Caenorhabditis elegans: one gene and its partners. The protein of the gene in region 4 interacts with the protein of the main gene of each other region in a pairwise test. Each region holds a gene or a part of one and is shown on either strand. Other genes may lie near its edges.

Evidence for each region.
Region 1: the proteins of alp-1 (region 4) and zfp-3 interact in a two-hybrid assay, tested with the Caenorhabditis elegans proteins (3 studies listed by BioGRID).
Region 2: the proteins of alp-1 (region 4) and mek-2 interact in a two-hybrid assay, tested with the Caenorhabditis elegans proteins (3 studies listed by BioGRID).
Region 3: the proteins of alp-1 (region 4) and F53B3.3 interact in a two-hybrid assay, tested with the Caenorhabditis elegans proteins (3 studies listed by BioGRID).

Annotation. Positions count from the first base shown.
Region 1 is NC_003284.9:1,440,361-1,449,601, forward strand, and holds zfp-3 (C3H1-type domain-containing protein), read right to left. Parts: upstream 6,284-9,241; 5' UTR 6,217-6,283; coding exon 6,129-6,216; coding exon of another isoform or gene 6,100-6,128; intron 4,657-6,099; coding exon 4,564-4,656; intron 4,517-4,563; coding exon of another isoform or gene 4,047-4,516; exon of another isoform or gene 3,036-4,046; coding exon of another isoform or gene 3,029-3,035; exon of another isoform or gene 2,957-3,028; coding exon 2,793-2,956; intron 2,276-2,792; coding exon 2,134-2,275; intron 2,083-2,133; coding exon 1,878-2,082; intron 1,817-1,877; coding exon 1,183-1,816; intron 1,000-1,182; coding exon 826-999; intron 772-825; coding exon 271-771; 3' UTR 12-270; downstream 1-11.
Region 2 is NC_003279.8:3,010,005-3,016,342, reverse strand, and holds the start of mek-2 (Dual specificity mitogen-activated protein kinase kinase mek-2), read left to right. Parts: upstream 1-2,894; 5' UTR 2,895-2,897; coding exon 2,898-2,984; intron 2,985-3,045; coding exon 3,046-3,225; intron 3,226-3,280; coding exon 3,281-3,499; intron 3,500-4,677; exon of another isoform or gene 4,678-4,735; coding exon of another isoform or gene 4,736-4,854; intron 4,855-4,914; coding exon of another isoform or gene 4,915-5,653; exon of another isoform or gene 5,654-5,659; intron 5,660-5,724; exon of another isoform or gene 5,725-5,850; intron 5,851-6,338. Other genes in the region: nobh-1 (RNA-binding protein NOB1), read right to left, coding at 524-598; col-48 (Nematode cuticle collagen N-terminal domain-containing protein), read right to left, coding at 4,736-4,854, 4,915-5,653. UniProt on the Caenorhabditis elegans protein: Functions in the let-60 Ras signaling pathway; acts downstream of lin-45 raf kinase, but before the sur-1/mpk-1 gene product in controlling vulval cell differentiation. Required for progression of developing oocytes through the pachytene stage.
Region 3 is NC_003284.9:2,864,487-2,873,314, forward strand, and holds F53B3.3 (CLASP_N domain-containing protein), read right to left. Parts: upstream 6,652-8,828; 5' UTR 6,575-6,651; coding exon 6,493-6,574; intron 6,410-6,492; coding exon 6,334-6,409; intron 5,260-6,333; exon of another isoform or gene 5,091-5,259; coding exon 4,865-5,090; intron 4,816-4,864; coding exon 4,714-4,815; intron 4,665-4,713; coding exon 4,512-4,664; intron 4,467-4,511; coding exon 4,350-4,466; intron 4,306-4,349; coding exon 4,108-4,305; intron 3,330-4,107; coding exon 3,167-3,329; intron 3,115-3,166; coding exon 3,003-3,114; intron 2,952-3,002; coding exon 2,507-2,951; intron 2,261-2,506; coding exon 2,031-2,260; intron 1,813-2,030; coding exon 1,745-1,812; intron 1,684-1,744; coding exon 1,586-1,683; 3' UTR 1,428-1,585; downstream 1-1,427. Other genes in the region: F53B3.6 (RNA-binding protein 6), read left to right, coding at 1-211, 268-985.
Region 4 is NC_003282.8:8,849,889-8,856,050, reverse strand, and holds the start of alp-1 (PDZ and LIM domain protein Zasp), read right to left. Parts: upstream 3,552-6,162; 5' UTR 3,538-3,551; coding exon 3,439-3,537; intron 2,933-3,438; coding exon 2,787-2,932; intron 1,522-2,786; exon of another isoform or gene 1,506-1,521; coding exon of another isoform or gene 1,474-1,505; intron 1,392-1,473; coding exon 1,283-1,391; intron 1,153-1,282; coding exon 995-1,152; intron 756-994; exon of another isoform or gene 696-755; coding exon of another isoform or gene 603-695; intron 559-602; coding exon of another isoform or gene 379-558; intron 318-378; coding exon of another isoform or gene 1-317. Other genes in the region: T11B7.5 (uncharacterized protein), read left to right, coding at 1-317, 379-558, 603-695.

The DNA of each region.
Region 1 (9,241 bases), on a different chromosome or scaffold from region 4:
TATTTATATTATGAAAAAGTTTTATTGAAAACAAACATCAAAAAAGTTCTCCAGAGACATATTCTACAAAGAAACAGAAAGAAGGATTCCAAAAATCACAGCTGCAAGATAAGGCTTGATACATGATAACTAATGAGAGCGGAAAGAGAAAAATACCCAAAAAAAAACAATATATTACGGGTTGGAAAAAGAACTAATGGGGGGGGGGGTCAGAAATGTGACTAGAAATGTGGAAAATGCAATTTAATTTAATTTTTTTTTCTTCCGCCACTAAGCTTGGCTCATCTCATCGTGATCCGCTTGCTGATCAAAGCGAGAGCGGAACGTCCGGCGAGGTGGCTGCTCGTCAAATCGATTTCTCCTCGGTGGCCGTTGATCCATATCCTGGCCTGGAGCATCATCTTCTCCCTGTCTATCAAACCTACTGACACGGGCTCTCTTAGTCGGAACGGGATCCTGATACTGGGATCCATGTGCATTTGGGGATCCTAGATGACCGCCATCATCATTGTACGCTGGCTTCTGGTCGAATCTCGAGTTGTTCCGAGGAGCAAAGCCTCCACGAGCATATCGTGCTCCACGGAATCCTTCAGTGTCGCCAAATCGGCCACGGTTTCCGCCTGCATTGTCTCTAAAGTCGCGGTCGTGGTGGTTGTTGTAGTTGTTGCGATTGTTGTAGCCTCCACGGAATCCGCGGCCTCGGCCACCTCGGAAGTTGTCGTGGTGATGATTTGGACCGCGTGGTGGGAGCTCTGCCATCTTTTGACGTCTCTGAAAAAGAAATAAGTAAGAATGGAAAAAAAATAGCTTCAAACTGCCACTTACCATCTCCTCGTCATGAATAAATCTGCACTGATCTCCCCGATTACATCCACCCGGGCGGCTGATAAAGTAGACACATGGCTCTGGAATCTTCCAGCCGGATTGAGTCCATCCTTCCGAGTTGCGAGAGTCCTGGCGACGCTCCTGAGCCATCATCTCTGGAGTTGCAAATGTTGCCTGAAATTTTAGACTGTTGCTAATGTATAAATAAGGAGGACTTGGACCAGCGTCGTGTAAAAGTGGGCCGATACCGGGCCTGTCCCGTTTTTGAAGTAAGCTTCCATGGGCCCACACATTTTTAAAGCGGGTCGGACCATTTCAAGCAATTCCAGCCCGTTTTTAAAAGCGAAAAAAACTCACGACATATCCATCCATTGGATAATCTTGCGGCACTTCTTCACTTGCATACGTGTTCCCCTGCTGGAGCATCATCTGCTGAGCAGTCTGCATTGCAGCCGCCAGTGGATCAACCGGCGGTGGAGCTGAAGTCGTCGGCGAAGGAGTCTCATCCGACGAGACGAACCCCTTCTTCTTGAGCTGGTTGAGCATCTCCTTGAGGTTCGATGGAAGCTCGAATCTGCTGGCAGGCTGGGCTGCTGGAGCTGGCTCCGGGGTCTCCGGGACAGAGGTGGTGGCCGTGTAGTAGTTGGTGACCGGTTCCGTTTCCTGGAACACTTGCTGGATGTGTGGAGTCGGCGTCTGGTGGGCTGATTGCTGCTGCTGCTGCTGTGCGTACATCGGACGTCGAGGGTTCTCCGGGCGTTGGCTATGGTAGAGTGGCAACGTGTGGAATCCCTGGTTCGGCTTGACCTGAAGCAGCAAATCTTGTGGACGAACACGTGGCGGACGGCCCGGAAGTGGCAAATCGCGGATAGTGGCGAGAGTGGTGGGCTCCGATGGAACACTGACGGTTGGGATGATGGTCGGCGTGTAGTTGGCACGGTCGACAGCTGCCTGCTCGTTAAGCGCTGGGTTGTCCTCGAGTTGGCACATTCTGGAAACGCAAAAAATTTAAAAAATTTTTATTACAGGTCAATATATGCCTAAAAACTTACCCAAACATGGCCCCTCTCATAATTCCTTCCTCTTCGATACGTCTTTCTTCCCGTAGGCCCGACTCTGACATTTCACTGCGCGCCGGTTTGGACCGCTTCACCGGCACCAGCGACCACTCGACATCCTCAAAAACTTCCATCTCCTGGCCAAACGCGGCGGCCTCATTTCGCTCCGAACACCGATAGTCGGCAACATTCGAGTGGACTGAAAGAAGAGGCGCATTAGTTTTAGTGGTAGGCTCTAGTGGCGGCGTACTTGCTGCAATACGTTCAATTTCCTTAACATGCACCAGTGGAAGACCTCGCGTGTCGGCGAAGATGAGGCGACGGGTGCCACGCTGATTGAGGTTGGAGATAGCTGGACCACGGAGAATTCCACGGTTTGGCTTCTGAAAATACTTGAGGGCGATTAGTAATAGTTTTTGCTTGTTTTCAAGAAAGTAGCTGGATCAGAGCTTGCTTGTTCTAAAAAGCCATAATTTTGGGCTCGAAATTCATTTGTAGAATTTTTTTTCCGAACTGTCCAGTACCATGGACGAATTGGCGCGCAATTACACTCAATTTTAAAAGGTAAATTTTCCAAAATTCTAACACCGCCTCATTGAAGCAAATGCGCTCTACCGAAACTGAGCAAGTTTGGTTGTCAAATTCCCGTTGAACGATTTCTCAAAGAGCGGGATCAGAGCACGCTTGCTCCAATAAACCATAAATTTTGAGCTCGAAATTCATTTGTAGAATTTTTGCCCGAACTGTCCAGTACCAAGGCACACAACTCTGCTCAATTTTAAAAGATAAAATTTCAATTTTCCTAGCAGTCGGCGTTTCCAACAGTCTAGCACAGTCTCATTGAAAAAATGCAGATGCGCTCTACCGCCACAAAGCAATTTTAGTTGTCAAATTCCTTTTTTAACCTACCAATTTCAGTGCGGCAAGTCCCGCATCCTCTCCATCATCTGTGGCGTGTCGTTTTCCTGAATAAATCGCCGTCGGCACCGCTGCTGCTGCGGCAACTGCTTCCGGCTTCGGTTTTCGCTTCACAATCCGGATTCCTGGGTTGGATGGCGAGTAGGAGACTGAGCCTGAAAATATTGATTGGTATTATTGAGATTTTCTGGAATTTTGAAAAAAAAAATTAAAGTATTCAAACAAACTTGGCATCAAGACTGAAATGTGCTCTTTCTGAAACGGTATGGGTACGGGGCAGGGGAGACGGGGAAATGGGAACAATTTTGTAAAAGTTTTGAGGCGTTTTAAGGGGTTCCCATTCAAATTGCAAGAAAAAAATCAATAGCGCTAGATTACGTCACCTAGAAATTCCACGTGTTGAAACATCCGTCGAGGTATAAAATTGTCATTTTTTCGAGTTTATGAGCGTCTTTTATTCCGTGTTTTGAATTTTTATCCAAAAATTTTTATAGTCCAAACTTTTTCGCGGCAATCTTTTTATTGATTTCCTTATCAATTTTTTAAAGTAGCATCGTTTTTTTTCCAAAAAATTCCAATTTGTGCGCAATAACTCACAAGGCATATTCCACGGTTTATTCCAAAAATAGAGCGTACTTGTTCATTATTGTGAATTTAAGTTTTGGCCTACAAGGGGATACCAATAGGAAAATTATCTCACCGAGTTTTGCAATTTATCGATTTTTAAAAAATGTTTTGAGTAAAAACAAAAGAATCGTCGTAAAATTTAATACAAAAATTGACAACTGAAACGGCTCTTCATCGGAAACCTCGAAACATTTCAATTTGCAAGCAATTTTCTCTAAAACATTTCTACTAGTAGTAAGTACAGAAATCAGATTTTTGGGAGATCAAAATTTCAAGATTACAACGTTTTAAGCCACTACAAATTTGGAAAAGTCACATTTCTTTGCGAAAAATAAGTAAGTGTTCTTCAGAATTCATAACGCCTAACCTATCCGACTATTACAAAAATTCAGACCATAAATATTAATTTTTTACATTTTCTCAATCGCTGAGCATTCTAGACATTTTCAAAATTCTAGACATCCTTCAAAAATGATCTACTCAAACTTTTCTTTCAAATTCCCAATCAAAAATGTTCAATTTATCGATTTCCGCATTCAAAAACGTCCACGGGCGGCAATTTTTCCAAAATTTCAGCCCGTGCACTTCTGATGATTTTTCTGGAATTTCATATATCTTTCATATATATCTTCTCCGCCATTTTGCTCGGCTCTGCAAACGAAACCACTGTAGAATATTCCATATGAAGCTGAGAGCATCTGCAAAAAAACTCCGGACGCACAAAAAAATAGAAAAAAAGAAGAAATCAGAAACATAGAAAAAACATGGAGAACAACTTATTGGGGAGTCTGAAAAGTGATGGGGATTCACAATTGAGAAGAGGCTTCCATAAGAGTGACCATAGTTCCCGGGTATCCATAGTCTTTTTTTAATAATAAATCTCGGTTTTTGTCCGCTTTTAAAATTACATTTTCCCATTTTTCCAAGACCTTTCAAAATTTTGCTAAAGTTCTGGAGAGTTCTATAATTCATTAAAATGTGAATAGTCGTATCTACGCTACATAGAAATAGGGGCTGGGAAAGTGGGAATCGGCGGGTGGGAAGAGCACATCTCCATCTCATTCCCAAGTGTCGGAGCTTCCATGTACCTGAAATGTGATGTTAGGATACAAATTCTAAAGAGTTTTCCACCTACCTCCATATTTCTGCCGCGTTGTCTGATCCTCGGGCTTCACTGGAGTCGTCTTCGATGTGGATGGCGCGGTGAGTGGTGTCGGTACGTAGACTGCTGAAAATTTGAAATTTAAAATTGAATTTGAACTGCCTATTGGAAATTATTAGAATATATTCAAGGAAGATTCAAATTTTCTTGTATTTTTAGAGTATTTTTTATCTAGAATATCTGGAATCTAGCAGTTTCTTGAAAAAATATCCACCGAGAAAAATGTCGGAACGTAAGAAATATGTCCAGAAGTATAACAATTGTTCAAAAAATTCAAAAGCTATCAGATACATGGAACAAAATTTGCCAGATTGATTCCGGTCTACTCAAAAACTCGGTCAACTTCCAGAACTTACCCGTACTTGCCAAAAAAGCTCCAGTGAGTGAGCAAAAGTCTGCAGCTCTTACTGAAGATATAGAACTTCCCTAAAAATGCCAGAAATCTGCAGAAAGTTAACAGAAAGTATTCAAAAGCCTTCCACATTTTCTTCAAATCCCATAATTTTTCTAGACTTTTCCAAACTTCTAGAAATGTTTTCGAAAACTGTACAACCCTTCAGAACTTGGCACAACTTGCCAGATATTTTCCATGCATTCTTATGTCTTTGTGAACTTTGAATGAATTTGCCGTAATCTTGCCCGATCATCACAAAACTTCCAAAATTCTCCAAAAGACCTCAGATCTGTTCAGGACATTTCTGAAATATTAAAAGTAGTCGCAAGTTTCAATCTAGTTTCAAAAAGCACCATAGACCCCCAAAGTTTAAAACGAAAAATTCCAGCTGTACTAAAATAGTCGGATTCAATTTTTCCAGCATTCTACTAGAGGATAGAAAAAAAAATAGGCCACAGCTTCAGCATAGTCAGCAAGTTGTTCGAAATCAGGCCGTTATCACTTTGTAATAATTGTTTCCCTATCCCTTTTTCTCGCGGAACCAGGACACATCTTATCTTCTCTATAGAAAATACGTAGTCACTGTTCTCAACTTGAAATTAGGCCCAAAGAGGGAAAAAGAGAAGAGCGAGAGCCTATCCTAAATGACTTAAGCTTCTGAGCCTTGAAGTGAAAGCCTAATAATCCAAGAAACATAGCTGGTTCCTGCTAGGTAGAAGCTTGAAGTTTTCCTGCTGGTCCCATATAGCCAAAGTTGAAGTCCAAGTCCAAGTATCTTGACTTCTGGATTCTACTGCTCTCAGCACGTCAGAGGTGCTCCAAGATGCCGAGGGCACTTCAGAACCTGAAAATTCGTGTCCAAAGCCCGGTCATCCCTTTCTGGGTATCCGACCACATCTGGGGCATTTCTGTTCCTCACATTATTTTCCTTCATATTGTGCGGTTAAAACAGAACTCTTTATTTCAATTGTCTCTCTGAAAACGGTTTTTTCTTTTTCGCCAACCCGGAACTGTGTCACAAAGAAAAATGAAAGTGCTTGATATCAAGATTCGAGATCGAAGAAATAGGATGAAGTGGAGAAGAAAATAAGGAACTTGCAAATTAGAATTCAAATTCAAAAATAGTAGAATTCCGATGACTTACCCGGAGAGTCGATGGAGGTGTTCGGGGATCCCACTGCTGGCAGGAAGGCGCCGTCCATTGTCTTGGTCGGGGTGTAGACGTCGGCCATTGGAGACGGTGTTGGTGCGGAGTTGAGCTGCTGGCGGCTTCTGCTGCTTCTGCTTTGTGTAGATTTTCTGGAAATTTTGTAAGAGTTTAATTTGAAGAGAATATTAGTGAATTTAAAAAAAAAAGAGGAAAAATCAAAGAAAATTTTAATTTTAAAAAGTTGAGGGAAACTAGAAGAAAACCAGGAGAAAAAACTCGCCAAAATCAGCCTAATACATTTTCGAAACGCGCAATGTGTGCGGGAGAGTGTTTGTGTGAGCGTGCGTTTCCCTATCGATCGTAGACACAAGAGACCCCCGGCAGTCAAATAGTGAGGAAATATCCCGAGCAGGCAGCCAGAGAGTGGTTAGAGATCGCCCGCAGTCGACGAGAGAGTGCAGGTGGCGAGGGAAAAGAGGCACGAGACGACGAGAGCGTGTATCATGTGGGCTGTCGAATGCGACCACTTGGGTCCCTCACCGATGTCTGCATACACACTGACGACAAGTTGCGGAGCGTGTTTTTTGGAGAATAATGGTTAAATGCATATTGGATATTGATGGAAGTTCATGAATTTTGTGAGTTTTTAAAATTTCAAAGCAATTTTTTTTTTGAATTTGAAGCTCAGCCAACCAAAAACTTATATTTTGAGAAAAGTTTTCAATCGAAAGACCATTCCAGAACAGTTTCACCAGAACAGATTCTAACGACTTTTCATGCAATACTAAAAACTAAAAAAGTTGATAAAAGTTTGTCGATGCACCATGATTTTTGCAATTGCTTCAGGAATTTTCAAATGAAACATAAATTTTTACAGATTCCTTTTTGGCTGGGAGCAGATTGTCAAAAAATCGATAAGACTACAGAAAATCAGTGGAGTTCAGGAAAAATAATTGGTTTTTGAAAATTATTTCTAGCTACATATAAGGGAAAGTATTCGACAGACAGGCTACCCGTAAAGACATAAAGCAGGAGTTAAATGGAATTGTGAGGAAAATTGTCAAACGTGCCAATTTGTTGAAAATCACAGAAATCGATGCACTATGATGTTAGCTTACAGAAACTTGAACCGAGTTTACATGAATTTTTTGGTGAAACAGAAATTTTTTCACTATCCTAGTCAACTGGAAGAATACTGTCGTTTTGAATAAATCATTTAAAAATGCCGTTTGAAAATAATCGAATCCAGACAAAAGTCTTCGATTTTGAGCATTTCTCACAAAAAAGTCCATTTTAGAGATTCTATGAATTAGGTTTACTATTTTGAAATTCACAAACTTTGATGAACCATGATGTTTGCTCTTAAATACGTGGACTAGTTTGTCAGAATCGTTTTACAGAAGGAACCTCTCGGATAAAAGAAAATTGTCAAGATAACGTGGAAGTTGCAGGGAACTACCAGATGTCAGGGAAAATTATTTTGAAGGGACTCAATTGACAATTAGTGCATGAAGGCAGACAATACAGGACTCGAATGATACTTTAAGAGAAATTAAAAAAATGTCGATGCACCATGATGCTAGCTTCCACAAATTTGAACCGCGTTTAACAGAAATTTTTGCAATTTGCTTGCCGGATAAAAGAAGATGAAAAACTTCTAGAAACGCCTGAAAACACTTAAATTGGAATCAAAATCCTGGAATTTTCGAACATTTTTCACAAAAAATCATTTCTTTGGCAATATCCTAGAATAATTTTCTGGAAATTAAGTGATTTAATAACCAATTTTTGATATAAAATTATTTATTTAGAGAAACTTTTCTTCTTTAGTAGCAGTTTTGTATGTAATCTTAAAAAAATGACAGTGAACAGTTGTAAATGAGCAATTCTAAACTGAACGTTCTAGTGTTCAGCATTAAAATTAAAACTTTAGCGTGAAATTTTGATATCCTACAAAAGTTTGCTACTTGTAAAAAAAAAATATAATTTCGATTTAAATTTAAGAGATACTGTCAAAAGCGTCTTAATTTTTTAAATCACAAACCGATGCACCATAAGCTCATTCAACGGGAATTTGTACAGATTTCTTTTTGTCTGGAAGAAAACTGTCAAACAATTGTGTAACATTGTGAGAGATGCTCATAATTCTAAAACGGAAGGAGAAATCTTTAATGTTCATCTTTTGCTAGTTTAATGGAGACAGTATCGTGGATTTGGCCAGTTTTGAAAAAGATGGTTGGAACCTCTGGGTTTCGTCCCCCCCCCCCCCCCCAACAAGATATCCATATTTTTCTTACTATTAGCGAAGTATTTTTCTAAGCTTGATATATATATATATATATATATATATATATATATATATATATATATTAATATTAAAAAATTTATTTGACGGGAAACAATATTTTTGAAAAATTTTAGAGATGAAAACTCAGAAATATTTAAGAGATCGTGTTGATTTTTTTTTGAGGTATTCCATCAACAAATTGTGAAAGAATATGAGATTTCATTCGAGATTTGAAAGATGCTTTCAAAAGTGTCAATACTATGAAACTCAGAAACTTGAATGCAGCGGGATGTTAGGACATGAATTGGCTTTCCACAGGAATTTTCAGATGTAGTGGGAAATATCTGTAAAAAAAATTGAAATAAAATGGAAAGTTTTTTATTGAAAAATTTTATTGAACATTTTAGAATGATATTCTGTCATTTTAGTACTATGAAAATGGTTGGTACATGTGTATTATAACCCCACATTGTTTTTAAAACGCAATTAGTATCTTCATTATTAGGCTCACAAGGAAAGTCTGTCAATCAAATACTAGGACATCTAAACCAGGGCTGGGCGGCAATTGCCGTTAGGCAAATGGATTTGTCGGCAAATGCGGCAAATCGGCAAATTGCCGGTTTGCTGATTTGCCGGAAATTTTTCATTCCGGCAATTTCCCGATTTACCGATTTGCCGGAAATTTCAATTCCGTCAATTTGCCGATTTGCCGATTTGCCGGAAAAAATCGTTTCCCGCCCACCCCTGTTCTAAACCACACATATTTCATTTGAAAGCTTGTTTTTTAACTAGGTCACCACAAAAAGTTGTACGGCGGAAC
Region 2 (6,338 bases), on a different chromosome or scaffold from region 4:
CACTTTTTTCCGTTATTTAATTTTTAATAAACCTCCAAGTGGCAAGTGATTAAATGAAAATAAAGCGAAACAAAAAACAATTTTTTTTTGGAATTGCTGAATCTGGGACTCTATTTAGGCCCTAAATGTGCTAAAATTAACGAACTTGAACGAAATTTGTAATGAAACTTTGTCAAAATTTCGAAAAAATGGCCAAATTCTATCTAAAATCTCCAGTTTTTACCACTTTTCCGTGTCGCAGCGGTCGGAAGTTGACTTTTTTTGGAATTATCATCCTTTTTGCATATTTTGTTCGTTTATCTCATGCTATTCCGTTGAAAATCGCCCAAATTAGGTATGCAATAAAGGATGAAAATTCCAAAAAAGTCATTTTTGGACGGCTGAGACACGGAAAAATGGTCAAAACTGGTGATTTTAACTGAAATTAAGCCATTTTATCGACATTTCTGGAAATTTCACTATAAAATTCGTCCATTCGAGCACATTTTGGGTCTGCCAAGGCTCCAAACTTGAAAATTCTCACATGAAGATTGCGATTGGCAATGATTGCGCACGTGTCAATCACGAGATGCTTGATTGGCTTTTCTTTATTCGTCATTCTCTGAAATATCGAAAAGAAATGAGATAATTGCGGCGAAAAACGGAAAAGAACAGAAATCACGTGATTTTTTGGACTTTTTTGTGGATCGTTATGGAGGATTATGCTGATTTTAACTGATTTAATGTGAAATTTTATGTAAAAATATTAATTCCAAACAAAATCCAAAAGAAAAATGCAAGTTTAACCCCGAAAAAACAAAAATTGTCTGGAAAATTCGTGAAAATCGCAAACTTTCGTGTGGCAACGACACTCCGGAATGACGGAGGCGCGTGTTGTTTAGCGCGTCCCGTTTTTGCGCTTTTTCTCTCGTTTTCATCGAATTTGCAATGATTTTTTCAGTTTTTGGCCTTTTTTCGTGTTTTTTTCGGTGTTTTTCGTGAAATGCACGTCTTAAAACGTCTAATAAGCTTATATTTCCAAGAAATATCGATTTAAATCGGAAAAAAGACTACTGATGCGTCTTGGAATTGTTTGCTCTTTATCTCTTCTCATCTCTGTTTTTTCGACAAAAAAGCTGAAATAAATCGAATAAATCAGGCAGTATTGTTCTGAAATGAAAAATTTGCAGAAAAATGGTATTTTTCCATTTTTTTCATCAAAAGAAGCACCAATCGTGGAGAAAGTCCCTTCTTCTACGTAGAAATCCCCGTTTTCTATATAATTCCTCTCATCGAGACTTATATTATCCGATTAGCAGGTCAAAAATCCCCGTTTTTGGCACGGATCCACTGAAATCTCAATAAAAATCACATTTTCTCGAAGAAAAAAGCAACAAAAGAGCCGTCATCCCCCTCTCAAATTTCCTCTCCTCCTCAATTTCGATTAAATTTTTAATTATTTAGGCGCTTTTTCTGCTCTCTTTTTTCTTGCTCCAGCAGCGGCTCCCCGCATCTCTCATCGCCTTCTTCTCTTTTCTTCTCGCTTGACCGAGCTCTCGCAGTCCGGAAAAGCAGTCAATAAGCTAGAGAGCCGTGCTTTTTTTTCACCTGTTCTCAAAAATCGCCACTTCACGACAGGTTATATTCATCAATCAATTCATCACGTTTTTGCCTCGATTTCAGAGAAAACTAGTTGTTTCGGAAGAAATTAATCGCGAAATTTTTTTTATTTTCCCTTTTTTCAGACGGCTAAAATCACGTGGAAATTTATAATTGTATAGGTTTTCACTCAAATTGGCTCGAAATAGCTCGAAAAAATTCCAAAATGTGTATGGCGAATCAAAATTCGAAAAAAAAAAACCAAAATTTGCTAAAATCAGCGGCTAAAAATCCAGTTTTCATTGAATTATCTTCATTTTTTTAGAATTTTTGGCTTTTTGCCACCCAAAAATGGTCTCAAGCATTGAAAAAACACTGCGACAAGGAAAAGTTGACAAAATGTAGGATTTTAGCAATTTTTGCTTCAAAAACACGCCAAAAAACAGTTTTGGAATTTTTTAAAAATATGTAATTTTAGGTCATTCTGAGTATATTTAAGTGAAAACCCTCTTTAAAGGTGAAGTACCGAAATTCGAATCTTTGCTTTTTTAGACCCAAATTGGTCCAAAACTACCGAATTTCGTAATGAAACGTTTCGAAAATTTCTCAAAAAAAAGTTATGGCGGTTCAAAGTTCGGCAAATTAAGGCCCACAAAATTAAGGCCCAACGTCTGGAACCCAATTTTTATTTATTTATCACTTTTTAATAAATATTGCGGTCTTTTATTAGGCTTTTATTCGTTGTTTTAAGTACATTTATGGTCAGTGGGCACAAAATGTAACTTTTATTTGTGCCCCAAAGGCCAGAAATATGCTTAAAACAACGAATAAACGCCCAATCAAAGACCACAATATTTATTAAAAAGTGATGAATAAATAAAAATTAGGTTCCAGACGTTGCGACACCGAGAAGTTGGAAAAAATTTTGATTTTAGCTGAAAGTTGGCCTTATTTTGCCGAACTTTGGACCGTCATAACTTTTTTTTGAGAAATTTTCAGAATGTTTCATTACGAAATTCGGTAGTTTTGGACCAACTTGCGTCTAAAAAAACAAAGTCTCAAATTTCGGTACTCCACCTTTGATTTCTGAAAAAAAACTCTGCTTTCAGTTAAAATTACCAAAGAAACTAAATATTTTTAATATTTCCTGACTAATTTTTAGAAAATTAAATAGTTCTGAGTATTTTCTGAATTAGACTCCAAAAATCGCTAAATTTTCCCATTTTCCCCAGTTTTTCATAAGTTTTCTTGGAATTTTCCTCGTTTTTTTTCTAAAAAAAACCTCTCGATTAAAATAAAATCCAACTATTTTCCAGATAATGTCGAGCGGAAAACGGCGTAATCCGTTGGGACTCAGTCTACCACCGACAGTAAATGAACAAAGTGAAAGTGGCGAGGCGACGGCGGTAATAATTTAAAATTATTTTTAATTTTTAAATATTGAATTTAAAAAATATAAATTTCCAGGAAGAAGCCACCGCGACAGTCCCACTAGAAGAACAGCTGAAAAAGCTCGGGCTCACGGAGCCACAAACTCAACGGCTCAGCGAATTCTTGCAGGTCAAGGAGGGCATCAAGGAGTTGAGTGAGGATATGCTACAGACTGAAGGAGAACTTGGCCATGGAAATGGAGGAGTTGTTAATAAGGTTGGAATTTGCTGAAATAAGCTGGAATTTGGAAATAAAAAGTTCAATTTTTCAGTGTGTTCATCGAAAAACCGGTGTAATTATGGCTCGGAAGCTTGTACACCTCGAGATCAAGCCGTCAGTCCGACAACAGATCGTCAAAGAGCTCGCCGTACTTCACAAGTGCAATAGTCCATTCATTGTTGGATTCTACGGGGCTTTTGTGGACAATAACGATATATCAATTTGTATGGAGTATATGGATGGGCTTTCACTTGATATAGTTTTGAAAAAGGTAATAGTTTATTGGAAAATGTGCGGGTATGTTGGAAAATGATATGGTGGACAGTTCTCGCAGGATTCTCGGATTCGGCTTGTCCTTGTGATCCGCATTGTCGATCTGACCAAGCTTCTACTCGGAGTACCTGGCTCTGCCGATGGTCCGAATGATCCTTGTGATCCTGAAGCTCCGACCTTCTTCCCGGTACCTGGAATTCCGTCTTTCCAGAGGTTCCTGGCGGATCCTGTTCAGAAGATCGAACTCCGGCGTCTCAATTGCTTCCGTCTTGTCCTGGAGATCTGCTCTTTCCCGGATGTCCTGGTGGGCTTGCTGGAGCGTTTCCTTCTGGAAGAAGTTCTCCAGGCTCTCCTGTGGTCCAGAAGCTCACGGGCATTATGGCGGAATCGGGAGAGTTCAATCACGAAGCTCGTCCTGGTGATCCTGGATCACCTGATTCTCCGACTTTTCTATGGTTCCTGGCGGTCCCTGAGCTCGCTGGTGGGCAGTGCTCGCACAATCCTGGTATTCGGCTTGCCCTCCTCCTGGGAGAAGTGCTCCAGGCTCTGCCGATGGTCCGGATGATCCTTGTGATCCTGAAGCTCCGTCCTTCTTCCCAGCACCTGGAAGTCCGTCTTTCCAGAGGTTCCTGGCTGAACATATTCAGAAGATCGTCCAATAAAAAGCTCGTCATTCTGGATTTTTAAACGAAATCTTTGGCTCACCCTGCTCTCCAGCAACTCCGTACGTGGTGTCTGTCCGCTGTCCCATTACGGTTTGACCTACAAAAAATGCGGCAATTTTTTCCCCAAAAAATGTGACGTCAGCTGAAAATTCTTCGTCTCGACTCCCGCATTTTTTGTAGATCTCGGTAGATCAAACCAAAACGGGGCAGCCTGGCACCACGTGCTCCGACGTCTCAACTTCTTCCGTCTTGTCCTGGAGATCTGCCCTTTCCAGGATGCCGTGAGCCTCCTGTCCGTCTTGATGGCCTAGTTGGGTTTGCTGGAGTGTCTCCTTCTGGAAGAAGCACTCCAGGCTCTCCTGTGCTCCCCCAATACCTCCAACAGAAGCTCACGGTGCTCTCCTGGTTCTTGACCTAGTTCTCTTTCCAGAGGTTCCTGGCGATACCTGAGCTCACCGTGCTTCACAAGCCTCTTCACCCTTTTTTTTATTAAATGGACAACTACGACATATCGATTGAAAAAATAATATAGTTTATTCGAAAATGTACAGACAGACTCGCATAAGCTTCTAATATCCTGGAGCAAGACGTGCTGGTGGGCAGTGCTCGCACGATCCTGGAGATCCGGCGTCTCCTGGCGATCCTGGAGTTCCGGCTTGTCCTGGTGGTCCTGGTGGTCCGCGTTGTCCTGAAACAAATTTAACGTTTAGAAGAAGAAGAAGAAGCCTAGCTTATCATGATAATTTACCTGGCTCTCCAGCAACTCCGGCGTCTCCGTTGCTTCCGTCTTGTCCTGGAGATCCGGCCTTTCCTGGCTGTCCTGGTGCTCCTGGCCGTCCTGGTGGTCCGGATGGGCCTGGTGGAGCGTCTCCTCCTGGAAGAAGTGCTCCAGGCTCTCCTGGTGGTCCGCGTTGTCCAGGCTGTCCTGGTTGCCCAGGTGGTCCCGGTGGTCCGGATGGTCCTTGTGGTCCTGGAGCTCCATCCTCTCCGTTTCTTCCCGGGTTACCTGGAATTCCATCTTGTCCTGGTGGTCCTGGTGGTCCTCCAAGTCCTGGAGCAGCAGTGCATGGGCATTGTGGTGGAACCGGGAGAATTCGATCATGAAGCTCGGCATCAGGTCCTGGTGGTCCTGGCTCTCCTGGTCCTTGACCTGGTTCTCCGTCTTTTCCAGGAGTTCCTGGCTCTCCATCTGGTCCTGGTGGTCCCTGTTGGCATGTGCAGCATTGAGCATCAGCTTGACGTGTAGCTCTGAGCAGAACATCAAGTGGATCATCAGCACCTTCCGGTGCAACCTCGACCATCTCACGCCACATATCCCGAGATCGGGACTTGCAGTACTCAACCTCTCCTTGTACGGAAGCTTGAAGGGTCTGCACATAGTGGAATACCAATGGGAAAGCGATAAGCACAGCAGTCACTGCGACTGTGGAGAATGTGACGGCGACGAACGCCACACTTCGCAACGATCCCTTGCTCTTCTCGTCCATCTGAAATTCTATGAATTTTCTAGAATATTCGAACAAAGAATCAAAGGTGAAGAAGGGAAATGAAAAATGTCAGAAGTGTCAAAAGAATAAGAAGAAGAAGCCTACACAGTCATTTGCCGTTGCCCCCGAGTGCTTATATGCGGCCGCTGTGGTGGAACGAAACGGCAAGTCGCGCACTTCTGTGTGCGCTGCGTCTCATCGTTGCGCACGCAATTTCCGTGCGCCCCGCGCAGTGAACATCCCTTGCGTTTTTTTTTTCGATTTCCTCATCTTCTCCGCCCGTTGTTGTACATGACTGTTGATTATGATGACACATAAAGTATCAAGGTGTGGAAAAAGTAGGGGAAGGAATCGAAGAGCAGTTCGGCTGGAAGTTTTGGGACTTCGAAAAGCCAATAATCGAGTTTCGGCGCTGTAAATGAGTTTTCTACTCTTTCAGGACAGTTAAATAATGTAGTTTTTAAAAGATTCCGTATAGAAAGTCTAGGGCTTCCATGTCGGCGTTGAAACACCTACCTGCCTGATTTGAAGGCGACACCTGCCTGCACGTGGTGCCAGGCTAGGCTGTCCCATCACGATTTGATCTACAAAAAATGCGGCAATTTTTCCCCAATGTGACGTCAGCACGTTCTTAACCATGCGAAATCAGTTGAGAACTCTGCGTCTCTTCTCCCGCGTTTTTTGT
Region 3 (8,828 bases), on a different chromosome or scaffold from region 4:
CGGATTATTCGAATCGAACCATGAACTACCGTGACTCGAGATCACAACAAATCACTCCACGTGGTGGCATTGATTCACGTGTTCATGCATATGGCAGAGAATACCCACCACTAAGATCCAGATCTCAAACAAATGTTGACCAAGACTACGGAGATCGCTTTTCCCAACCTGCACCATATTTTGATAATCGAGGGCTTGATCTGAAATCCAGGTAACTTTTTTTTTTCAGAAGATTCACTGAAATTGTAATTGCTCTCTCATATTCAGAAGTAAATCATTGGACACCAGAGAGTTTCGAGGACATGATGATGGGTTTCATCGAAATGAATATCCTAATGATGGTGGAGTTGTCATCCCTATTCGCCGTGACATTGGTCGTGATCCGCAGTATGACTTCCGTTCGTCCCCTCAAACACGTCACAGAGATGCCGAGCCTTATGGATTTGATGATCGTCGTCCACAAGCAGGCCAAGATGTACACATTCCTTATAATCGAGATATTCAGGAACCAGTAAGGGAGCCTCTCGGAAGAGACCGTGACTTTGTTCCTAGAAGATCATTTGATGGAAGAATGGGTGACAGTCCAAAATCGTATTCTTCCCGATTTAAGGAGCAAGCTACGAGAGATCGCAGAGCCCTGGAATATGGTCGAGGAGGATTCGGAGATGATTTCGAAAGAGAAGAGTATGGAGCAGTGCAGCCATATCGTGGACCACCTGGAGGCGTGGTAAGTAGTGGAGGTGGCGGCTACCGATCAAGCAGCCATCACCGATCTCATCACGAGTCACACGGTGGAGGACACGAGTCGTCATTTGGAGCTTCACGTGGTGCAATCACTCAACAGCCACAGGTATATCATCAGGATATGAGACCGGTTCGACCGGTGCAACACCATCGAGTGCAATGTTGTTGCTTCAAATTTGTTTGGCCACCATGGAGCTACGAACAAGCACCACCACCACAGCCAATTTACAGAAACATCTGAAAATCTTGCTCAACCTTGACAATGTTTGATATTCTTCATTTTAATCTGTATCTAGGCTCAATTCTTTGATTTTTGCAACTCTATTTACACCCGTGTTCCTCAATTTCTCCATTCAAATTCTCAAGTTCACTGTCGCTGCCAATTCTTTTTTTTTCTTATTTTTTTTCCGAAATCCCACAAATAGTCAAATAATAAAAAGCATCCTAAATGATATTTCCCCAATTAATCAAGTTGGGGTCATGATACTGTTTGATAACAAGGCAAATTGTTGGCGGCGCGAAAGAAAACGAGCGAGAGAGAGAGAGAGAGAGCGTTTCCTAATTCCAATGGCCTTGTTTTGGGTTGCACGCAATCGATTCAGGGTTATCCCATTGATGTCTTTCAAATCAATTTGTTGGAGGTTTACCGTGCAAATAAAATTAGGAAAAATAAAAAGACAAAGAAAAAGGGTTCATATATATGTTAACAAGATTTTTATTTTAAATATACAAAAAAAAGGTATTTAATTTGAACAAGTCTTAAGCCTATATTTGAGCAAATTTAAAATTTAAAATTATTTTCGGGATACACTGTGGTTAAATTTATGACAAATCGGTTTCATTACAAATGATAAGTGGCTTCGCGATTTTTTGGGTTTTGGTCGGCTTCATAGTCATACAAGTAATCGAACTGGCTCAGAGCATTACGAACATCTTCTCCTGAAACTTGGTAGGTTTATATGATAATGATTAAAAAATCTCTATGAAGTATTAATTTTACCGTTAATGCTTGGGCTCCGAAGTTTTGCACGACTATTGCTGCGAGATTCATTTGGAGTATAGTCGAACCTAAATGTGAAAATTACACATTCAAGGCAGTTCTGGGAACTTAAAATTCTATACCCCACGTGTGCTCAAAAGAACAAATTTCGTAATGGGAATCTCAAAAATTTTTCAAGAATTTTTATGGTGTTTCAAAATTTCGAAAAAAGCCTAATTTAACTAAAATCTTAAATTTCGGTCACTTTTTGGTGGTTCAAAATTACAATAATTTTTATATTCCTTACTTTGACGTTTTGCTCACTCTCCGTGGCCCGGCTCCGACTCCACTTTCAATATTAATCGGAACATACACCACTTGTCCATTCTCATTACTGTATGCAACTGGCATATCGAAATCATGAGTTCCGGACATTGAGTTCTGAATTTCCAGAGGAGAGAGGGGCCGGCTGGAGCCTTCGTGATTTCCTGCTGTGGCGTACAGGGGCGCTGATACAGGACGATTTGATGTGGAGCTCTGAAAATTTTCAAACTTAAATATACCGGACCAAAACGACCGAATTTCATAATGAGACTACTCAAAAAATTTCCAAAAAAAAATTTCGAAAACATACACCCCAATTTTCCTAAAATCTGAAATTTCGCTAATTTTTCTTTGTCACCGTAGCTGGAATACACTTTTTTTGCCCTTTATGGCGTATTTTAGTAGTTCACCTATAAAGAAAAGTTGGGAACATTTGCAATTTTGAATAATAAAACGTACAGTCACTTCTCTTGGTTCCGGCGACATCATTTTTTTGTTGTACACTGAACTGACAACTGGCTGTTGTGGGAACAAATATGAAAATCCTGCGTGAGGATGCTGAGCCTCAACAATCGGAGGATCCGCAAATCGTGCTCTTGGAGAAAGTGCACTAGATAGTCGTCTAGACGGTATGTCAGCATCTTGCTTTATAATTGGTGAAACTGGAACTGGGGACACTGCTCTGTACGGTGTTCGAGACGCTGATGATGGTGGTCGTGCAGAAACTGGTCGAAGTAGTGTTCCTGGATCATCGTCGCGGATGGCCAAGTCATGAACGCTTCGAGACAAGGTTTTCACTTGTTGGATTGGGTGATAATGGACTTGCTCTTTTTGACTGTTATTGCCAAATCGTTTCAAGCCGCGTGGCGCCATTTCAGGAGAATCATTTTCATACTCTTCCCTGCTGGAAACAAAATTTGTATACCTCGGCTGTTATCAATACTACTTTACGTACTTTTCTCTGAAAACCATTGCACTTTCACTTTTTGCTCGCCTCATCGCACCGAACGGCTCTCTTCTCTCGGTGGCGTAACCCATTCTGGATGGTGGTATTGGAGAAGATGGTTCTGAAATTAAAATTTAGAAATCAATTCGAATTTTCAATGTTTAATCACTTACCAGCATAAGAACCATGCGATAATGTTTGTGATCTTCGGTCATAAGTCAAGCGTGGGCCGCCACCTCCTTCAAAGTAATAATTGCCGGCAGCTCTTCCACCGGAGCCAGCACCCTGCTTTCGGAATCTTTGACGTTCAACGTTTTTAACGACGGATGTCACTGGCTGAAATAAAATAAAATAAGTTACCTTCTTCCGGCACTTTTGCCCACAAAATAAGAATTCACATTCAGGGTTCATCACTATTAATAGGTCAAAAGGTGGAATAGCGCCAGTGGAAATTTTGTCGAAATACACTTATAGTGATCCAGAACTATCGAATATCATGATAAAACAATCCAAAAATTTTTAGAGTTTTTTTAACTGCCAAATTTTCTGTTTTAACGCAGTTTAATAAAAATGAAGAGCAAAAACCGTAGATTTTTTTGGTCGACTTCCAAAATTATGACTGAAAGAATACTGAGTAGTTATCACTATTTGACAGTAAATAAAAAATCTCAAAATTTTTTTGAGAAGTTTTCATTATGCCTTTTCTTTGCTGGAACTTTTGTAAAAAAAAATCTGAATTTGTATAACACAAGTTGGACTTTTAAAACATATATTTTGAACATATCAGCTGCTTGAATTTATTTTTGAGCAGTACCCGAGGTTCTAAGAAAATTGAAAATTTCATCAAGATTAACGGGGTACAACAGCGTTTTATCTTGGGGATTCAAAAGAAAAAGGGTATGTAGTTTAAATTATTCTATTAGGCTTTTTCGTATAACCAAACGTACCGCGGCGAAAGCTAAAAATTTCCTTTCATTATTTTACCTATTTTGATAGATACAACATGACTTTTTGTCAACGCAAGCAGACAAATTTAAAATCTTTTTGTACATCTTGAACAATACAAAACTCATATCGCAATTTATTATGCTATGAAACCTAACAGAAAATTTACCATGATCTTGGAGCTTGGAGCATGCCTCCGACTTCTTTCCGATATGCTGCTTCCGTCCACTTCAGAAGTTCCATAAATGTGGTTATGCTCAACGGTGGGTCCCGACCCTCCAACATATTGGTTCAGTGATTTCCACGCGTTCAACTCATCGATCAAAGTGTCCATTCCGCCGTAGGATGAATTCGGGTATCCAATGAGCTGGAACAATTTGGCGTTCAGAATACGAACAATAGGTAACCTACTTTTTCGACAACTTCTGGATTGTACTGGGCTAATGACACTTCCGATTTAACAAGTGCTCTGTGCACTGGAGTTGGTGCGCTTGCAATCAACTTGTTGAAAAGTCTAGCCACAAGGATCTGAAAATGGCGAAAATCTACGAAATGCGCCGTATTATTTTAGACCTGAATGTGAAGTTTCTTTGTATGAAGACCATGTTTGAGTTGTGCTACAAATATGGAAAACCTCAAATAGTCCCGATTTCTTGCTGCCAAAACAGTCAGCGCCCTCAATAAAATCACAAATCCTTGCGGTTGTTCTAGTAGCAGAAGAAGAATCTGCAGAGAACGATATTCTAATTTGTCAAACACAACGATAAACGGCAACCTCGAGTGAGTAACATTTGGAGTCCAGCTGAGGCGAATGAATAGAATACATTATGGCATCCAATCCGGTTGATGTTTCGAGAAATGACTTCCATGTTGATTCCTATGCAAGGTGATAGTTAATGGCATGAATCTTACAAATTTTCACTCACTGATTTCTCAAGTAACAGTTTGATGCTTTCAATGCAATCGGCCTCAGCAACAGCTGCCTTTCTTTTTCGATTGGCATTTGTCGAATTTCTATTGAGCAGGTAGGAAATTTTCGATCCAGATCCTTCAACACTGTTCACAATTCCCTGCAGAACAATCACCACTTTTCCGAGTAGTTCAATCCCGTTGATAGGCTTTGATACAAACTCATGCGAAAAATGTTGAGCCCTGGAAACAATTGAAATTCATGTCGGAAGCATACGTCAGACAGGAGCAAATATTGTGGTTCGGAGGAGTTAGCTATCAGTGCGTGGGGGGGGGTGGGAGGTTTTAGAACCGGTCACTGTTGTATTTACTTCTCAGTCGGAGTTAAATAATGGCCACGGGAGTGCACAAAGTTGAGCGCGGGAGGTACCGCCAAATGGATAATACGATACGAAAAAATGGCCAAAAAAATTTAAATAAATTTTCCTTGAGGGAATGCATTTTTTAAAAATACTAATAGAGCAACGGAAAACCTTTCTCTTTTAAGAAGTAATTGTAATACTAGCTAGTTTTTGAAACAATGCATTTTTTCGGCTAATGAATGTAAAAGAAACCTTATAAATTAATTAAAATTATGTGAACAAACAATTGAAAAACTGTTTCTGTTTCTAAAAATAATTTTTGCATTGAAAAATGTTATATCACACTTTGTCTTAAACATATCTATTAGTGATAAACTACAAACTATGTTTAAAAAAAACCGGTACTTGTGTTTTACATGCCCTCATTTTAAAATTCTACTTAATGTTCATTCCTTTCTCCATTGAAATTTAACGTGATATTCATTTTTTTGGGCTTAAAAATGGTTATTACCTAAGCTCAAAAGTTCAAAAATATGCTACAGTGCATTGGTTTTTCCACGCATTTATGCGGAATGGTCTTGCTGCGCGCGTAATCATCATTTTTAACAGTTTCTGTTCAAAATTTGCGTAGATCACGCGTGAAAGCACAATTAATTTGAAAGCAACAGAAATACAAAATATGAGATAAATATTTTGTGATATACATGTGATCTACGCGAATTTTACCCAGAAACTGCTAAAAATGATGACTAAACGCGCGGCAAGACCATTCCGCATAAATCCGTCTTCCTTTAAAGTCGTAGAAGTGAAAAATCAAATGCACTGTACACGCTTAAATTTTTTATAACTATGTAATACACATGTACCAAAAATTCTAACAAATATTTTGTTAGTTGACATTGTTGCATTGTAAATAAGTTGTTAGTAAGTTGCTAGTTGATTTTAATGATACAATCGACAACTTAGGTATAAGCTGTCAAAATTGAACATTGCGCTCCAATATACTAATAGAAAACACTGTCATTTTTGTAAATTTTAATCAAACTTTTTTTCAAATTTGTGAAGAAAGTTCGCTTGGAAAATGTTGGAACATCAACGCCAACAAAAAATTCAAAACTACTTACTTTATTGAGTCCGCTAAAATTTGGTCTTTTAAAGATAACAAAACAAATCCAGCATCTGATAAAGATATACCGCTCCCTGAAAAAAGTGCCTATTTGGTGGTGGTTTTTAAAAGTGTTCAGTTTGAATACACTCCCGTCTTGTCATGGATATATGTTTACCTGAAGGAGTCGAATCCGGATTCTGAATAAACCTCCGTAGTTGGTCGGCAAGTACACGTGGCGAGTTGACATTTCGATCCATTATTCTCACTCGGTTCTTTTTGCCATTAACATGAGGGGAGCCAAATGTGTCGAGTCTAGTTGGGTGAGGCAGGGAAAAGGCTAAGTGGTGGTTAGGAATCAGGCTAGGTTTGTAGTGAATGCTGCTGCGAGACGCGATGTGTGTGTGTGTGTGTGTGCCAGTTGAAAGCAAACAGTACCTCCGATGAAGGCTTGAAGACTCGGGGGGGGCCTGCTGATGCTTCTGCAACCGTCCCCAATACCGGTGAGCGGAAAGAAGTCGAGAGTTTGCCAAGAAACACTGCGACACATTGTGAACGCAAACGAGAGGGTAAACATAATGGGAAGCGGAGGTTAAGCAACTTACTGACAGATTGGTAGGTACTCACAACCGGTAATGAGTTGCTTTCAGTTTCTGCTCACCAATCAAAATTCTTATGCGAAAATTTTTTGTTTTTTGATCCGGCAATTAACAATGTTTTTAGCAGATGATTTTTTTTAAATAAATTAAAACGTAATAGTTTTAGTATTCTCAAAAACAAATGGTACAAACCAATAGGTACCAAAATTTAATTTAATTCATTTTTCTACCACTGATTGCACTCATCTTCCATCTGTTAATGTTTTTGTGCTACCTTCTGATTTCTGTAAAACCTATAGTATAATTTGAGCATAATTTCAAACTCCGAAACTCATAACATCCAATGGTATTCAATTTTTTCGGCAAATGAATGTAATAAAAACTTTGTGCACTATTTCATTCGTGAGCTAAGAAAATTGTTTGATCATTGGTAGGTAAATGGAGAAAACACCCTCTTGATTTTTGAAATATTCAGCGTCTGTAATTTTACAATTTCATAAGAGAAAAAAGAATTTATTGACTATAAAAAACTGGCAAAAAAGACCGAGTTTTTGCCACTTTTTGAGAAAACTTTAGTTATGTCGCATGTTTTAATCCTTGCAATATTTAAATATTAATTCAAAAATAATCACAGCATAAAAATCAAATAAACAATTTTTATTTGATCGACAACTTCCAAAAAGGTGGCAAAAACAGACATTTTTCCAATTTAAAATCATATAAAAATTAGATTCAAAAAATTACCATGATACTTGTTCATTTTGGCTTCATATGTATTTTGAAACAATTTCCCCACTGGTGCTACACCACCTTCAGCAATATTTGTCATAGTTTTGGTAAATTGTCAATTTCACAAAACAATTAAATATTACTTTCAAACAAATTTTAAAATATGTCGCATTTTTCAACCCATAAGTATTTGTTTCCGTCCACCAATAAAATTGTGAGAGACGAAGCAAAAATTGAAAACTTCTTGGGTCAGGAAATTTGAGAACAAATTGATCGAATAATTTTAGCGTACATTTATTAAAGTTGAAGTAGCGCAGGTAGGGGTTTTGTCTAAATACACTTATAAAAATCGAATATCATAATAAAATGTTCCAAAAAAATTTACATTTATGGAAGTTTTCAGTCAAAATTTTGATAAAATGCTAAATTTAAAAAAATTGCTTTGAAGGAAATTCAGAGCAATGCCGCATGTTCCGACCACAAAATGTTTTAACAAGAGTAATACAAACAAAATTAAAGTATAAAAATCGTTGAATAAAATCTTTTTTTTGCTTTTTTAATGATATATTGGACGTTCGCATGTTGTCATAAATAATAAATTATTGAATCATTTTCTTACAATCAAACTGATTTATTTAGATACTTTGGTATGAACTGAAAAAAAGTGTTTCACATATTTAAAAGTATGAAAAAGTGAAATGATTAAATGGGAACTGAGGTGTGGCATATTCGAGTATCGATTATCTTTTAAATTCATTGTGCTTGCTGAACGAACTGAACAAAAAAAGGGGGCAGATGGCATTTTGAATAAGACAAGTGGGAAAAGGAGCACCAAGGGTCTTCCATCCAAACTCGATAATTTCAAACAAGGAGTGGCAGTACAAAAATGAGAAGACGGACATAAAACGGATTGGGGATTGCCAACAAAATCAGAACAAGAAAACACTAAACTCAGAATGACAAAGTTGAGAAAAAAACATTATTAAGTAGTTTAGGTACATTATGGGGAAACTGTGACAAATGCGATACACACATACACAAAACGGCAACAATTTTTGGTTGGCAAGTGGAAGAGGAAGAGGATTACTGGAAGTCTAGACTTTCCAAGAAAAGGCTAGAATAAAACTTCTGACATTCAAAAAAAACATAGAATTTGGTGAGAATATTCGTGATGGACCTCGTCGTT
Region 4 (6,162 bases):
TAGTACTTCTCACTGTCTTTTTCTGCACCTCAGTCGTTGCAGATTATCATAAGTTGAAATTAGGCGGAGCCTGTGAAGCTCTTCGTGTTGAACTTGAAGGAACTGATGATGCAGCAGCCAAAATGACCAAGCTGAACGCTTTCTTGGACACTCTCGGAGAAGGAATTCGTCAAAAATTCTGGGACATTGTGGCTGCGGCAAAGACCGATGCACAAACAAATCTGCCTTCGGACAAGGCAAAAGAATTGGCTGGAGAAGTAATCAGCGATTTTGAACAAGGAAACTTATTCAAGAGTCATCAAGAAATTTCTGCGGAGGTGAGGGAAATTAGAAAAAGACCTAGTTTTTTCACAATCTAAATTATCCTACATTTTCCAGCTTAAATCCAAATTCGAGTCACTTGATGATGCTGACAAGGCAGCGGTTAAAAACTTGGCAAAAGTTTATGGAAAGCAAGCCAAGGCACTTGTCATGCCACATCTTCCAGAGGACTGCAAGGCTAAAACTGATGCTACAGATGATGCAGGAAAAGCTGCTGTCGCCGGAGGTTTCGACACGGTAATTTCGATTGAATTGTTATGATAAAGAATATCAATTTTCAGGGAGACTACCTTCCGCGCAAGAAACGCGAGCTTTTGTTCATCGATAACCTCACTGCAGCTTTCAGAGAAATGAGAAGCCGTCGTGGATTTTAAATACATTTAATTTGTTTTTCGTTTCTTGAAATTGAATGATAAAAAGCGTTAACGTCTTGTAATTTTTGGATTAATTTATGAGACTCGGAATTCGACCGCCACTTCTGACCCAACTGCCCCAAACCTAAGAATTTTGTTCAGAAGTTGGTAAAGGGTGAACAAAGCTTGGCCATGACTTGTCTCAAGAAATTTTTTTGTAAAATATAGGCCAACTTCCGAACTAAATTTATACTATATTTTCTGGCCAAATTGAACTATAAGTGCTCTTTCAAAAATTTAGTCATGTAAAAAACACTCACCCTGAATTATCTCCCAATCCTTGAGTTTGTTGAACATATTGCTCAGCTGCAGACTTATCGGAATAAATTCCCAATGGAGAATTGTATTGCATATGTTTCACACGTTGATCTGTTTCAAAAGGAAGTGCTGAATTGTTGAAACCTTGTGGTGGACGGGTCTAAAAATAATTTATTATTCACTATTTATTAGAAATTTTAAAAAATGTTATGCTATTGTCGTTAAAAACGATTACAAATAACGATTTTGTGTGAAGCTTCCTATTTCAAAACAAAACTCAAATGACTCACATCACTGCTATGCTGCAAATTGACACGATATGGGGTTTGATCCTGTCCTGGTCCAGTATTTTCAGTTACTTCTGGACGCCAAATTCTGGTGGCTGCACCGGATGGTTGCCTGAAATTAAACTTATTTGATATGAATGAAATCAAAATTTATTTATTTTCTATTTAATCTCTTCGATTAAATTTCAAATTACCATGGTCTTGGCGTCGTTGTGATTCTCACCATCACTTTTGAATCTTAAATCATTTCAATTGAACATGAAATATATTTATAGGAAAATGGGTAAACGTAAAGAAAAAGGAAACTTGCAAGTTTTTTTGTTCAAAAATGATAAACACCTGGAAAAGGGAAATATGTGAGAGGAAGTATTCAACAATTTCATTCTCTCAGTTTTTGTGTGCGAGAGGGTGAATAAATTGTTGGAACACTCTGATACAACAACAGAGAATGAAATAAAAAGAACAGTGTCAGAAGTACATTGCTTTGTCATGAACTGACTCATCATTAAAACCCTATTTATTTAAAATTCAACTGTTCAAAGTAAAACATAACATTCAGGAGAAAATTATGCGAATTCGGGAAAAGTAAAAGCCAAAATAATAATAATTGTCAAACTGTTTTGTTTTGGTATTTCTTAAAACTATACAGCAGTTTTGGAAAGAATCTTGAATGCTGTGGCAGTTATTTTTGGCAATTCTATAACATTTTTCCATGCAACTTTTTTTGCAGTTGCTTATGTAAAAAGTGCTCAAAAATAAGTTTAAAGGGGCAAAAATATCTGAAGCTTGTTAAAACTATCAACACAGAATGATTTTTGAGGGAAAAAGGTAACGAGCTTCAAATTTAATGACATTAGAGTGCTTATAAGAGGAGCAAAACTTGTGTTGCAAAGCTGTTGCAAAGCTAAAGAAAACATTGATTGGGACATTTGACCGTTTCAAAACAGTTCAAAACAGTTGCAACGATTTGTCATCAAACGGAATATGTATGTATAAATCCTAAGTCCCTCCTTCTTCCTGCAACGAGATATTCGGAAGAATGTTGCCTTCTGCTTCCCCCGTACCGATTGGCCTGATTCTTATCTGTTCGCCTGTTTATATGGCGGGTGTTCGCTTCGAAAATTTTGGATATCTATATTCTATTGCATGAAGCACTTGCTGTTGGAGATAAACTAAGACGCAGACGGATTAAAAACGGAAAGGTAGGATACATTGGTGATGTGATTAAAACGGAGAACACTTTGACTGGTTAATAAACGGAAATACAAACTGGTAAGTAACCTACTTTGAATTGCGTTGTGATAACAAAGCTACAGATTACATAACTAGGGTTGTGTACATTTTCAAGGGATCGATTTAGGGGAAATATTCGAGAAAATTATGTCTTTCTTATTATTTTCACACACCTGCTCTGTTTATATATAATTTTTATTTATTGTGGTCGACACAAATTTTGAATAATTGGTGCTATACTGATAAATTTGAAGTGTTTAACGAGATGAGTTACCTGGTAACAATAAGTTCAATCTTCTCATGAGCTGTAACTAGAAGTCTATCAACAGCGTTTATGTCCAAATTGTCAAGATCTTCCAAACGATCAACAACATCTCCATTACGAAGACCGGCACGATCAGCTAAGCTACCACCTATTACCTGAAATTTTCAACTTTTATTCGATATTCAACTTGTTTGAATTGAAGGCTCCCTTTGCTTTAAAAAATCCCCCAACGCATGTCAATTTTTCAAATTCATTTTTTCTTACGTTAACGACTAATCTCTCACTACATTTTGTCTATGAGTTTTGAGAGAAATTTTGAAAGCATCTAACTTATTGTAATAAGTGATGTTTTTTGTGTTGCTCTTCCGATTTTCCCTGGGCATGTCCAGAGGATAAAACTGCGAGAGAAAGTGAGGAAGGCGATGAGATTGTAAATCAGTTGTGGTGATGCGGTGATTTTTGAGATCGCGGTAAGAACCTAGAGGTGCTAAAAGTGAATGTGATGGGTTTTCTTGGTTTTTGTATTAAATGTATACGAAAACATATGCCTCAAGACTAATTTTTACGACAAATTTTATTGTGATTCAATTTGGACAAACTGACAAACTACTTTATGACAAATAGGGGGACACTTATACTAAATTTATAATAAAGAGCTTACATTAACAATAAGAACAGCTCCATCTGGGGCTTCTGTCACACCGAACCCCCATGGAGTTCGGCGATCCGAACGAGCCATTCGAACGGTCACACGTTCCATCTTGATTTGACTACCTGAAATTTTATTGTGTCCTGGTCAATAAAATAGAGCGAAACAAATAAAAATAAATCAAAGTTTCAAACAGAATTTAGTAGAACATGTTTAAAAAAATATTGTCCAACCGAAAATATTCATTTTGTTTCAAATGTGTACCACTTCAAACGCAGTTATTTGCTAAAGCGCAAACGTTTCAGTCCAATAGTTACACGAAATCTTCAATAACCACGTGGCGTTTATAGATGAAAAATTTTGCAAACATTTTGACATTTTGAATTTTTACTTTTAATTAAAAATTGAAAACAAAAAAATCGTATTGTTTTCCGTATAGTGCAAAATAGAAAATAAGAGTAAAAGAAGGGAGAGTGAGATTATGCTGGATTTTGTATATTTATCGACTGTCGGGCAATTTGACGGGGGAAATGGTAGTGAATGACTACAACAGAAAAAAAAAGATTGTTGAAAAAGTAAGATGTTTTATTTAAAATTAATAAAGAAATTCAATTGAAATTATGAAACTGAGCATAACGAGTTTTCTGATTCGATGAGTCATTCGTGATTGACAGTTAATTTTTTTTATGGAACTCTTATCGTTTAACGGAACATATAGTTTTAAACTACGTTTAAAAAACGATACCACACCCAATAATTGAAATTTTAGTTTTTTCCAATTTTTTTTTCATAATCAGTGTGTTTCATAATGAACACCGTATATTACCCCAGTTTTGTAGTTTTATTTCTAACTGCCAGTAACATTTTTTAAACTTTTAAAGAGGTGATACTTTTTGTAGGCCAATCTACATAAACTTATGAAAGTTTTATAACATAAAGTTTTATAACAACAAAGCTAACGATTTTTAACATGAAGTCCTGTATCTCCGTTTGCAACTTGAACATTAGTATTAAAGTCCTACAAACCAACCAAAAAAGAACTATTTGAACAATCTGGTAATGCTACTTGCTTTGAAGTAAAAAATAATTATAAACACAAAATACCACGAATGACGTTCTGAACTAAACTTCCTAGAGATCTATCGTATGTGAGCTAAAATGTTGGCAAAAAACAATCTTACATGATCCTAAATACATTTATCGAATTGCAGAGTACAAGTTTTATTCAAAAAAAACCGTGCCAACCTTAGGCATTGGTAGATTGCCGTTCATAATCTAAAAAGTAGTTTTAAACATTGTTTTCTTATATGAGATGGGTGATTTCAGATTACATCTTCAATTTTAGGTTGAAATTGCATTGTATCAAGTCTAGAAGTATACAGAACTAATGTATAAATTAAGACGGTTGAGTTCCAAAAAAAAATTCCAAAAAATCAACTTGGTGTTGTGTTGCGGAGGTGGGGGTTCTGCTGTTCTGAGGTCTGTGCGGATAAAGCTTCAGGCCCAACGGTGTACGGCACGCGCGGGCGTGAGCACATCCTCTCGCTCGAACTCTGACATTCTCTCGCTCTTCCCGGCGCGGGAAGCCTTCTCGCACTTCATGGCCATCTCCTCTTGAGCTCCCGAGAGCCGGGGGAGCTCTCGGAATGATATAGGGATGATTTTGAGGAGGCGCAGGTATTGGACGTGTTTGTAGTAAAGCGAGTGCGCGTTGCTGATTATCAACGAAAAGGGGAGGGGGATGGGATGATAAGAAGACCGAGACGAAAATGAGAAGAAATTTGGAACAAAAGTGCGATTTGTTTGAAAGAGCTTGAGACATAAAAGTATGAACACTTGTTAGAGTAGTTTGTGGTATGAAGTATAGGGTTTTTTCAAATCACAAAACGTTTACATTACCAAGTTTATGCCAAAAATGAGCCATGAGCGGAATTATAAATATATTATACAGTCTCGTAAAATTCATAGTCCAGTTCAGACTCAACAATAAGGTTTTAGAAGAATTAATTATTTTTATTTAATGAAAAATTAAATGGTATGATGACATTCTACTATCAAGTTTATATTCAGAGAAAACACAGAGCCGGTTGATGTCACTTGATGTCGCTCCATATTTGGCTGTACATATTAAGTACGTACAGTAGTCTCTCAGAAATTAAACTCAAAACAAAAAAAACAAATTAAGATGAGAGATAGAGATGAATTCAACCACCTGTCATCATCCCACGACTCATATTTCACAAAAAAAGCAAAAAATAAGCAAAAAAAAATATATCTTTTGGAAACCTTTTTACGTTGTATGTCTGCTTGTATGTGGTGGCAAAAATAGATATTGAAAAGTTCTTCTTCTCTCTAATCCTCTATCGTCTAGATAGGTTCTCAGGTAAACAATGAGCAGCTTTTCGGTACTTTTTTGCTTTCGTTTATCAACACTGCTTTTTGGAAGAAAAGTGTAGAAAGAACAAAGACTTTCGAGTGGGTTTTATGCAGAAGTTGAATAGTTACAGAATTGTACGCAAAACCATGTTGATCCACAGAGACAAAATTAACACTCTCTAGGCAAAGAACAAATGGAGGGAGTATAAAGAGAGCAGTCGTGATATTTTAAAAGTAAAGTTCTCATAAATAATATATTTTTTAATATCAAATACCAAGTGTGAATAAACGTTTTCCGTTCTTTAGCACCAAAACTGATACAGCTTCGTATGAACAATCGTTACTCAGTCAATTTACCAA